Linked DNA regions of Neodiprion lecontei. The protein of the gene in region 1 interacts with the protein of each later gene in a pairwise test. Links are inferred from orthologs where the notes say so. Each region holds a gene or a part of one and is shown on either strand. Other genes may lie near its edges.

Region 1 (5,658 bases):
AAGTTCATATTACATCGATGTCTTAGTGACAGATTTCTCTTTACCTGTCTGGCGTTCAGACATGAGAGTCGATGCAATTATCACAGATCGTAGGTTCAATGCATCACATTATTATGATGGGCATACAATACAAGAGTTTAAAATCGATCGACATTGCGAATAGTAATGAATCCGAAAACTTCTTAGCAATTGAATTTCAGCTTTAAAATCATCTTAAATCTTGCACAGCTCCATATGGAATAAGAGAAGCAACGGAGCGTGTAGGTACCATAAAAAGACAGCCTGTAATCGACCAGCATCAAGTAGCTAGTCATATACCTTCTAAGATTGACTACGGGCTGCCTCAGATGTTCGTTGATCTGCTCTCATTTGCTGCGAATCATTTATGTATTAACGGCAGATTGGTATGCTGGTTTCCTTTGTTCAGGTAAGAACGTAAAAAATATGAGACTTATGATAAACTGACAACAGACTGCAGACATCAAATGGTTGAAATTTTCGATGACTATATATTTTTTTGATAATTCTGAAAAAAAAAAACAAGGTTCCATTTGCTACTAAGACCCTTTAAGCCGAGTCTGCTGTATTTCAAAATATGTTTTAATTTTATTTATTTTAATACAAACAATCCATAAACAACAAATGTTGCACATATTAATAATTTAAGTAATAAAAATAATGTGCTGTGTTGAATGTCATGTAATTGAACGTATACATGATCCTACAGGGAACACTATGCAGACGAGCAGCTTCCTTCACATCCATGTTTGCAATTAATTGCCAATTCGGAACAGATTCTGAGTACATATACAAGTCGCCGCTTGCTCACTTATAAGAAAATTCGAGATCCTCAGGTACATAGGAGCATCATGAATTTGCAAATTTGAACAGTTGGTAGAAAGATTTCATTTCGCTGTCTGAAATGAACCTTACAGAATCCTATATATTTTTGTTCTAAGCGTAAGATTGACAGTTTTTGTTCTTTGTAGGATGATGATCCAATTGATGATTCGAATGTATTAGACTTCCGTGTAAGATATTTCGGACATGGAGATGAAACAAGAAAAGAAAGAAGAATGAAGAGAGCAGAACAGAGGGCAAAGAATAAAGAGAATTGGGAAAAAAATATTAAGTCAAAAACTGCAAGATGACTAAATCTTTTTTATATGTAAAAGTGGTAAAAGTTTATTTAACAAACCTGCTTTTTACTTTATTTAAAACGCACTTTTACACGAATAAAAATATTTTTTTACCATTTATTATTTCTCAGCAAAGACATCATGCGAGTAGAAATTGCAAACGTGGTCTTTTTTCAAAATACCACAGTATTTTTAAAGGTGCTATTCGACTTCAATTCTCAAGGTCGCCTAAATGTTGTTCATGTACCGTCACATCAAAAGCTCTTCACGTATAGATCCCGTTTCAAAACATACGTAGACATCCATGGATGTCAAAAGCAAATCTATGAACTCATGTTTTGTCAGACCGACAGTAAATAATCGGTATTATTATTTATTTTTTCATTCAATAAATTTAATATTCATGATGAATAATATTAAATAACAATATAAACATATTCTTTTAGAAACCTTCACAAATAGGAAATACAACTACTGGAAAGATAATTTCTTACAACAGTGCCATACACGAAATACATCATATTTACGTACCATGTGGAGTTCAAATAAAATGCAAATAAGCAGTGTGTATACTTATGTATACTTAACTTGATAAATATGTATACTGTATGCATATGTGATATACTAGGAAGGTTTCATAGTTCCAATGGATCAATGTTTCAAACACATCAGTAGATAGCATCTCTCCGTACATCCATCAGCGTACCAAATACATATACATTCATATAATATATGTCTATGACTCTAATTGTAATTGCCCTAGTACATCTACAACATTTTTAACATCTTTTTCTGTCGCTTTTAATGCATACCTTTTCTGAATTTGAGTTGCAGCCCAATTGCCAAGCTTTATTGCATCCTTTTTCTTTGAAGCAGGACACTTTGCTGATAAAGCAATGTTGTTTGCCACCTATTTAAGTTAGCAGATAGTATTATTCTCAAATCGTCTACTATTTCCGACAAATTTTCTGCCCTAATATAATTTGCTTATATAGAGAACACTTCTGAAAACTTACCAATAATAGCCCATAAAGTGCTCGTACGTTGTTGGGATTCAACTTGATTGCTTGAGCGAAATAAGTTTTTGCCAATTCCATATTATCGAATCCACCCTAGATGATAAAATATTAGATTTGTTAAATTTATAGGACAGCAAAATTAGAGTACTTAATCTTTACTTGAAGTGAATATTTCATTTCTATTTAGGTAATACTACAGAAGAGATGCGTTCATTCACTAACCTGGGTATACTTAATTTCTGCATATCGCTGATAAATCAAATGACTATGAGGGTTGTGCAAAATTAATTCTTCCATGCAAAAAGCTGCTTTAGCATACTCTTGCTCTTGCAGGTATAAATCACACAATTCGTGCCATGCTTCTTGGTCACTCATGAACCTGTTTAGAGAATGTCAGTATTTTAATCAAATGAGTAACAGGTTTTACAACTAATTCCTGATGCGGATGACTAACTTTTTCAAATACTCGGTGAGTTCTTTTATAGCTTCAGTTATTCGACCTTGTGCCTTTAGAATTGCCAATCTTCTTTTTCTTGGTGCTGCGTTAGTTTCATCTCTTTTGATTATGGAGTCCAAAATCTTGAGGGCCTCATCGTATCTGCAAATGAACACATTATTTGTGCCAAGTAATTAGAGATCATAGAATATATATAATCATGGCAATTTTCAGTGCATCATTATAAAGTTAATGTAAAATGGTTATATGTAATACTTTTCCAAGGCTTCCATGTGCATTGCGTGATATTTCAGCACCCTCAGGCTGCCTGGAAATTCTTGCTCCAATAAATCAATACATTCTTTGGCAACTGATAAACGATTGCAATCCAAGGCAGCCACACACACTTGTTCTAAGACTAAATATTCTATAAAATAATAAATACCGCAATATGAAGGTCAATTTTCACGTAATATTTCATTTTAGGTAAGGGTTAGATGAATAAATATTTATTATGAGGATTTTTACTTTCGTTTCCTAATTTATGGATCTTCTCTATTAATATGGATTCCCATAGCTCAACCACATCTTCACTCTTGCGTTCAGAATCTTCTCGCCAAGTTCTGAACAAGTCTCGTACATCTGTGGATTTGATTTGAAAATTGATTAGCCGTATAAATTTTTACGTACGGTAAAGTACTGCGATGCAGTTGGCTATGCATGCACATATTTGCATTTAGTCTGATACTTGATTTTTCATCATATTTAGTATGAAACAAAAATTTGCAACTGTGATATTGTAGCGAGATATAGCTTTATGATTTTGTTTTTGAAATCTCAGGCTCGTACAACGTGTCCCCAATTAAATATTATACACGTTATGTAAAATACCTGTCTTAATACATATGATAATATATAAATATGTATTTAAATCTAGTTGATTATGTAATAGTTGGGTAATGAGGCAATATGTAGCATGAAATTCAGAAAAATGAATATTGATACATTAGCGTTACATATTGACTTACTTGACAAATAGAGGCATGTAAGCTCGAGTATCGAGCTGAGTTTAGGTTTGATTTTTCAATATGTGCATGTAAAGAGGACAATGTCATCGTCAATTTATCAACTTATTATAAAGACGTACCTGTCCAAGACATATTATCATAATTCCATGGCATTTTTTATCTACCGAACAGAAGACCAACAGCCAACAATACGAAAAATTATTCAGTCAATTGGTCAATAAAAGTTGATTACTTAAATCGAGGTTATACGACAGAGTTAGCAGAAAATTTACTCTGTCAAACTAACGCGATCACAAAAACTTGACTCACTCTTTACCGAATCTAGAAGGCTGCGCATTGCAATTCAAAAACAACATGTATATAATATACGTAATACGTACACATACCTATGTACGTATGTCATATGTATGCACCACTGAACACATATTTATCATTCGACGTGCAGGCCGTATCCGCATGATATAGATTAATTAATCTAGTTGTTTTATACCGCTAATAGAAGGTTTAACAATATTTTTCATCCGTTTGTACGTAGAGTTTGATTGTAAGCACGAGAGATTTTATAGTTTTCCTCGATGAATTACTGGATCCGCAATGTGGAGTAATGGATATTAGCGCGTGAAAGTACATTTAATGCACTAAAGAGTACATCGTCATGTGTAGAGTTTGGGGATGAAAACATTTTGCAAAATATTTAAAACTGTATTTGAGATTGTGGTATAAATTAAGTTATGAATCTTAAATATTAATATAGAATTTTTTGCTTCTAACTAGAAATATGATTTAAAAAATCGTAATCTCAAATAGTAACGAAATATGTGCGCATCCGTAGGTAGGATAGGTAAAATATTTAAATTTTTGCGAAACAGCTAAAAATACATATAACAAAGGTCGGGAGTAGAACAGGTGTTTGAATGTTTTGATACAGATGGCAGCGGATAGTAGTATCTGGGTGGCGCTCAGCTCGTGGAATAATTTCTTGTCGCTCTCATTCCTCGTTGGAATATTGCTCGTGCTGTTATCTGTTGTGTTTTTGGGCTGTAACTGTACGAAAAACATGTCCCTTTGATAATAAATGGTTGAAAAAAGCTCAAGGTGTAGACATGGAAAAATCGGTTCGTGTTTAACCGTGTAGTAATAGTGACGATTGGATGAAAGGCAGGTGTAATTTAACGGGTGGATGGTAGGCTCGTGAATTAATAGGATATCGATTTGCCCGCACAAGTGCTGTGCTGGCTGTAACGCACACGACCGAGCAACTAGGCAGCCATGGACGTCGATATTTTTGGGGCACAGTCCGTACGGACATTGAAATATGACCATTTAACATCGTCAAAGGCCTGATAAAAGGCAATATGTTGGTAATCAGGGTCGCGAGTATAGCGAAGTAGTATTAAATAAAGAATAACGCGAGGGCGAAACTCTCGTACAACGGTGGTTCGTAGCTAGTGTTGTGTTTGTGTGTATTAATCGTCCGGTGCATCGCGTTTCGTTCCTTGTTCCCTCGGTTCCTTGTCCGTGATAAAGTTCATCGTACGCGAATTGCAACGTGAAATATATATTGCTGAAAGGATATTGAAAAACGAAGAATTTAATCCAACGCAGTCTTTGTCAAAACCCATACAATGGAGCTTGGAAGTAGCATGAGTTCAGGGGCAGTCGCCTGTCCCGTTTGCACTTTGTATTTACGCGAAGGTATAAGCTTGCAAAAGCATTTGGATACTCACCCCAAGGAACAGGTAATCGAAGCTCTGATCAAGGCGAGCACGTCGCCAGCGCAGCAGCCTCAGTTGAACCTTTCTCAACCGGCACAAAATCCCATCCATTCACCACCGAATCCTGTGGCTTCTCAGTCGCCGTACCCTGTAGGGCCAGTATTTGAATGTCCTCCGGTAGCCCCGATGATGTCACCTCAATTTGCCTCCTTCAGTTATCAACAGTTTGTTAACAACGGGACAATGATGATACCACAGTACGCGATGGCGCCGCAAGCCAATCAGATGATGCAAATGCTGTACAATCCCTACGGTATGTAT
Region 2 (6,202 bases), on another chromosome or scaffold:
CCGTTGAATAAGAATCGATTGAATTAACGAAGCATGAGAAGTGCAAGACAACATGGGAAAAAACGCAGTAAAAAGTATTAGATATTTAGAATGAAGCCTGCAGCCAGAAAACATAATTTGTACGTTAGGCACAGAGTTTAGGGTTCAAAATTAATATTTATGATAACGACGATGTAACAGTTAATAAATTAAATAATATTAATGTCGCACGAAGCAGCTATAGCACCATTGTGTATAGTTCATAGAGACGTCAGAAAAATCTGCGATAGCTTGATCGATGCCTTAGTGAATAGTATGCCACTATTTTTACGTGTAGAGCTAGACATAAATGTAAGTAAGACACTAACAAAAAAAATGTTAAATAGGTTATAAATTTAAAGAAGTTTTTTAAATCCTACTTTTCTAAGTAGGTGCGTAAATATATGTAATAATATATGTATACATATATGCTTGATCATATCGTGTTGTTAAGTTTGACGAGATTTTTTAAAAATTGTGAGAAAAAAAAATTAAATTACTATCCAAATTACAATTCTTCGACAAATACAACAATATATATATACATAACGTTATATATATATATATATAACGTTATGGTATGAAAAATAACAATATACATATTATACGTAAATTATATATAGATGAATAACACTAATGTTAACGGGTGCTATTTTTCAACAAAACATTAAAATAAATAAAAATAAAATCGCAAATATTACCGACAGTATATGGATAATATACCACAGCAATGACGACGAGTTTAAGCTAAACATAATCAAACAGTGCAAGTGATCAAAGAACACGAGGCTAGTTGCAGTTTGATTTATAATATCTTAAGTTAAAGAAATAGAAACAAACTACAAGCCATGAAGTGAATTATTAATTTATCGGAGGTTATTAACTACGGCGATTTTAGAGTAGATCGCATTGAGTGGCAAGAAAACAAATGGTTGTGATAAATTATTGCACGTATCTATCGCACCCCATAAAATAGAGCTGGAAAGAAATTGTGCAGAGAATTATTCTTGCCTATTTTCGTTTTCGCGAGATTAAATAAGGTGATGTGAAAAACTGTTTATTGGCTCACATATTCGTACGTTTTCATGCAAAATTTGACCACATGGTGTGCACTCGAAAGCGAGGAAACAAGGAAGTTCTTTTTCTTATTTCCAGTGAAAAGGAAAAATAATTTTTTCACAAAGAAAAAGTAAATATCATTTGTTTCAACCTCATAATAATGTATTTTAAGGAAAGGTATGATTAAATATCCAGTCTGTGCTTACAAGCAGATAAAGTCTAAAGAATTGAAATCTACGAAACAGCATACAGATAATAAGTATAATTTTTTTTTTTTTCTTTTTTTTTTAATGAGAGATGTAGAGGCGCGATCCGCAGTTTTAAACAACCGGTGAGTGTTGTTGTATGGTGAATGAGTACATAGATACCGATGTAAAATAAAATTTCAAGAACTTTGTACCTGAATAAATGAAAAGTTGAAATTTCTATTACTGTTTGTGTCACTCGTGTGCGATTCAAATGAATTTCAAGGGCACGTAGTAATCAGAAATATGTCACCAAACAAAAAAAGGTCGGAGAATCGAGGAATGAGTGTGAGAAAGGCGAGACGAGGGACATAGGTGTAGGTAATTTGTGTACAGCTGAACAGCTATAAAGTTAAAAGAGTAGACTAAATAACCGATGGCTTAATTATGTATCGTATACTGCTAAAAAAAGAAAAGTGATAAAAATCTGACAAACAAAACAAAAAATAATAATAATAATAATAACAACAACAATAAAAAAAAAAACAAATAAAATAATACAAGCGAACTACTTTGTAAAATTTCTTACAAATAACTTGAAATTTTGTAGAATGAACAAAAAAATCATTTGTGAGAAGCTTAAACCGAATAAACATTTCTTTCACAATCATATCAAAATTCGTCTTTTCTCCTACTCACATAATATGCACCTATGTGTAAGAATAGACGTGCAACATTGAAATAGTCTTTCGAACGTCGGTTTTAGAGGTCTGCATGTTTTATTATAGACTTTGTGAATAGGACACAAAAGATTTAAAGGTGCAGACAAATATAGAATTTTTTTTTGTTAAATTAGGTTATTTTCACTGAACATAACATTGGTAAAATTATGGTACTCAAAGATTCTGTGCAAAGTTCAGGGTTATTACAAATTTTTCATTGAAAAATTTATCATTTTTATATGTTTTCCAAGTAAGAATATTTCTTGAATACGATTTTAGTACCATTTATACGGAATGTGTGGCGAACTGCGTATTCATTTTACAGAACCTATGTGAGATAACGTTATGTTCTAGAATACAAAGCTGGAACGAGTAATATTCAAATTGTTGCATGTTTTGTTGATATTTAGATAAAATATGACTGTCGTACAAATCAGAACGCGAATGAATTTACCAATTGACATGCAAATTGAAACATTCACTTGCATTATTCATGATTATGTCAATGATCGACGTGAATTCCGAATCCAGATAAAAATTTTCAGCCGTATTCACCAAACTTTTTTTTGTATATTGAAAAATTCCCTCACTTTGCTCAGTTTTCCAGGCTTGCAACAACTCTCCAAGTTATTCCCCTTTTTCCTCTTGGGAATTAACAGTACCGTGGAATTTTCGTGAGGCACTATTTCGCACAAGTGAATTAAGAACCTAAACCAACAGCCTCTATTGCTTCGTCAATGATTTTGTTTAATTCGTTGTTCTGCCAATCAAGGGATATGTTGTCGAGATGATTGTCGAAGTCGACAAGATCACGGTAATCTTGCCCTTGCAACATCGTCGAAACTCCTTCTAGAACATCTTTATCTAAGTTTATCCTATAAGTAAAATAACGAGTTTTGTTATTACTTGCTGATCGTTACCAAGGTGCTTAGTTATCAGGTACAATAAATATTCCATACTTATTTTTCTCTATAGGTTTCCATTTTCCATCTACATTTTGTGAAACTCTCAAAGGATTCTCTTCCATGCGAAGCGTAACTTTCCTGTTGTCGACCTATAATTTTTAAAGTCTTTTCAAAATGTCTTTCCCTTCTGCTGTACAACTTATTAGGCATGTAATATCGCATTTAAAATTTTCATGATACGTACCAAAACTGGTTTTCTTTAATAATAAGAAATATCTTATCTTCTGACGATTGTCAAAATTTATAATAGAATTCACAAAAATATTTTATATTCTACAAGGAAATAGAAATGACAACTGAACCAAAGGATATCTAAATTGGGTCAGATTGTCACAATTGCCAATTTCCTGCATACTCACCACAACTAATAAGGCAGAAGCATAGCTCTCCGCTATTTTGTCAGCTATTCTGTGAGCTGGCTTGTCCACGCTAAAAAAATCACACCAACATTTAATATATAAAAAGCATCATTTATTGTTGCGATGAACACAAATATAAGACTTGTTCTTTTCAGTTCGATCAGGACAATCGAAACACACGACGAGGCTTCAGAAATAGTGGTCGACATTATTTTTTGACTGGTTTTTCGATTTATAATTTCTCTTAGGTCGAATTACCTGAAGTTATCACTAATACTAAGCTCTGATAATTTTTTTCAGTATAAAAGGAACTTGGCAAGCTATCTATGAATAAGAAACATACTTCAGGTTGAATATCACATTGACCCATATCAGTTTAGTATTGAAACTTATTGTTAGTGATCGGTCAAGTTTTACAGATAAGATTGATGGGTTGGAACTTCAGGTGCGACATATCAAATATCCAGTTTCAATGGACTTTTCAAAGCTGGCAATACGTACCTCAAATCGAATAAATTCTCGTTAGCCAAATAGTAACCAGCAATTAGCAGACCTTGGTGAGCAGCGACTTGATCGACCTGCAGTAACCAAGAAACAATGTTACAAGTTAGAAATTATAAAAGATCATCATTGTTATGTGAAAAATACTGAATTCAAATATGAACTTTGCAGTTCTAATTGCGAGTCAAGTAACCGCGGACCTGTGCCAGGTATACGAATAGCTGATACGTGAATGATAAATAACAATGAAGGTAGGTAAAATAACCATAGTCAAGGCGACTTCGGCCATCGGCGATACATGGAGACAGAGGTGAAAAAGGGGCACAACATCGACGATGTAGAGTTCTTTCGATCTGGAGGCATCCCTCGGTTTCTGCTCCGCTAGTAGCAAACCGTTTACTGCACAGTGGGGATATTTCGCTGCGTGTAAAACTATCTTGCTGTAAGCACGCACCGAAAATCTAACCTCTGCCATGCTCGCGTTCTTCGGTTGTTTCACTCACGAAGAGCTCTAAAACACAGACTATGCTCGACCACTGACACTTGACAACTAGCTACGTTAGCTATGTATGACTGAAAATATGCACATGAAGTTAGCCCTGGGTTATTTTTCCTGAGGGGAGTAAAAGCAGTTTCACGAATTACCGACCTAGTTACCGACTCCGCTGGTAAGTGGAAGTTCTTCATAACCAATAACTGTCAGTGACGAATTAGGCTGAATTTACACGGGCGTCAAATCGACGCGACTGCGGCGGCAGAATGACGTTCATGAAAATGAATACCGACGCAACGGCGAATTGCCGTGAGTCTGAATTACGTAATTGAATCAGTGGTTCTCAGTTGCGTTTTTGTCTTAAGAATTGAAAAATCTAGGATTGTTGATTGGAAGTGTGAACAAAAGGAGAAAATGAATGAGCGAGAAGAAGATCGAATAAACGGGAATAGTTTTTCGAGGTAGGAAAATAATTTAATTCATTCTCATTATTCCCGAATCGTGCAGTCGTGCATAATTAAGATGTCTTTTCGTACGTTTATTACCGCGTATAGTTTATACTAAAAATATTGCGGGGTGTCCAGGGGCTTTCTTATGAACAATAAACCATAATAAAAAATATATCAGCACTTGATTCATTTCCATGCATTACATGTATTATGATTCTAGAATAACGAGAATGAATTGGATTACTTTCTTATATGTCGAACAGCTACTTATAGAGCTTATAGACCAGTTCTACGAAGTACGCTGCAAGCAACGTTTCAAAAGTTACAGCCGAAAAACGTAAAATATCGTTCATAATTCCTCTGCTGTTGGTTCTACGCTCGTTTTGATGTCTTTTCTGCATTCCTGAGGGTTCAATTAGTCGAAAAATATTTCTGCAAAACGATTCTAAGACGAAAAGTTTCGAGCTTTGAAAATCGCAAAAAAAAAAGCAAAGGCTTGTTTCAGTCGAAATTTGGCCGATTTTGAAAAATACTTGAATCAATTCTTTGATACACTCTATCGACGCATTTTTTCGAGAGAAATCGATTGCGCGCAGTCCCAATACTTCATCTCACTATTTCACTTTCTCCACTTTTTCACATTTCCAATTAACAGTCCTAGATTTTCAGATTCTTCGAATGAATTTCAGAAAACAGTAAAATTGTTGAACGTCGTTAAACGTAAAATATTTTTTTCAAGGAAGATAATAATTGTCCGATATGATATTTGCCATTTCAAATCACTATCCTAACAGCCCCCAATGCTGTATAAATGTCGCAAAATGTTAATGCCATCACAATGCATAATCAGGTATTTATATTAGTATGTCTTCACTAAAAAGGCCAAAAATTATAATCAAATATACTTTCTACTGCTCCCGATCCCAGCAATTTCAAAATTGTCACACATACGAAGATCATGAAAATTTTTTAACCTAAACCAAATTATTTCGCTCAAACATTATCTGTGTGACTATATTATACGTTAATATTAACTATATGTAGAATAACTTTGTACATAGTATTAGAAATAATGGTTGCAATCGGGGCATCTCATATGCGTTAAAATTCTTGTGTTAAATCGAAATGAAGTTTAAAAGTTAATTATGTACATTTCAACACATAATGTTTATAACGATGTTAATATTGAATAGCGAATTTCAAAGAAATTTACAAATCTTAACAAGTAAATTAGGCTGTCATTCACTGATCGTTACAGAACGAAAACTTGTAGCTTCTGTAGTTATACGGATCCATCTAGTATGTTGATATTCAATTCAAATACCTCAGGGTCAATCCATAATAAAATATTTCGAGCATACCCGCGAATCGCAGGTATAGATAAATAAGAGTTGAATGTAACTCTTTTATCAGTGGAACAAAACATCGATTCGATTGCACCACTCTGGATC

Evidence for each region.
Region 2: the proteins of ER membrane protein complex subunit 2-A (region 1) and ER membrane protein complex subunit 8/9 homolog interact in a two-hybrid assay, tested with the Caenorhabditis elegans proteins (3 studies listed by BioGRID). The link is inferred for Neodiprion lecontei from reciprocal best matches to the Caenorhabditis elegans genes emc-2 and F25H2.4.

Annotation. Positions count from the first base shown.
Region 1 is NC_060260.1:5,298,506-5,304,163, forward strand, and holds ER membrane protein complex subunit 2-A, read right to left. Parts: upstream 3,923-5,658; 5' UTR 3,776-3,922; coding exon 3,742-3,775; intron 3,237-3,741; coding exon 3,123-3,236; intron 3,022-3,122; coding exon 2,871-3,021; intron 2,757-2,870; coding exon 2,613-2,756; intron 2,538-2,612; coding exon 2,381-2,537; intron 2,252-2,380; coding exon 2,156-2,251; intron 2,050-2,155; coding exon 1,876-2,049; 3' UTR 1,152-1,875; coding exon of another isoform or gene 990-1,151; 3' UTR 855-989; coding exon of another isoform or gene 728-854; 3' UTR 583-727; downstream 1-582. Other genes in the region: tRNA (guanine(10)-N2)-methyltransferase homolog, read left to right, coding at 1-89, 229-427, 728-854, 990-1,151; uncharacterized protein LOC107223771, read left to right, coding at 5,248-5,658.
Region 2 is NC_060261.1:27,859,785-27,865,986, reverse strand, and holds ER membrane protein complex subunit 8/9 homolog, read right to left. Parts: upstream 4,468-6,202; 5' UTR 4,285-4,467; coding exon 4,075-4,284; intron 3,887-4,074; coding exon 3,810-3,886; intron 3,379-3,809; coding exon 3,309-3,378; intron 3,039-3,308; coding exon 2,944-3,038; intron 2,860-2,943; coding exon 2,685-2,859; 3' UTR 686-2,684; downstream 1-685.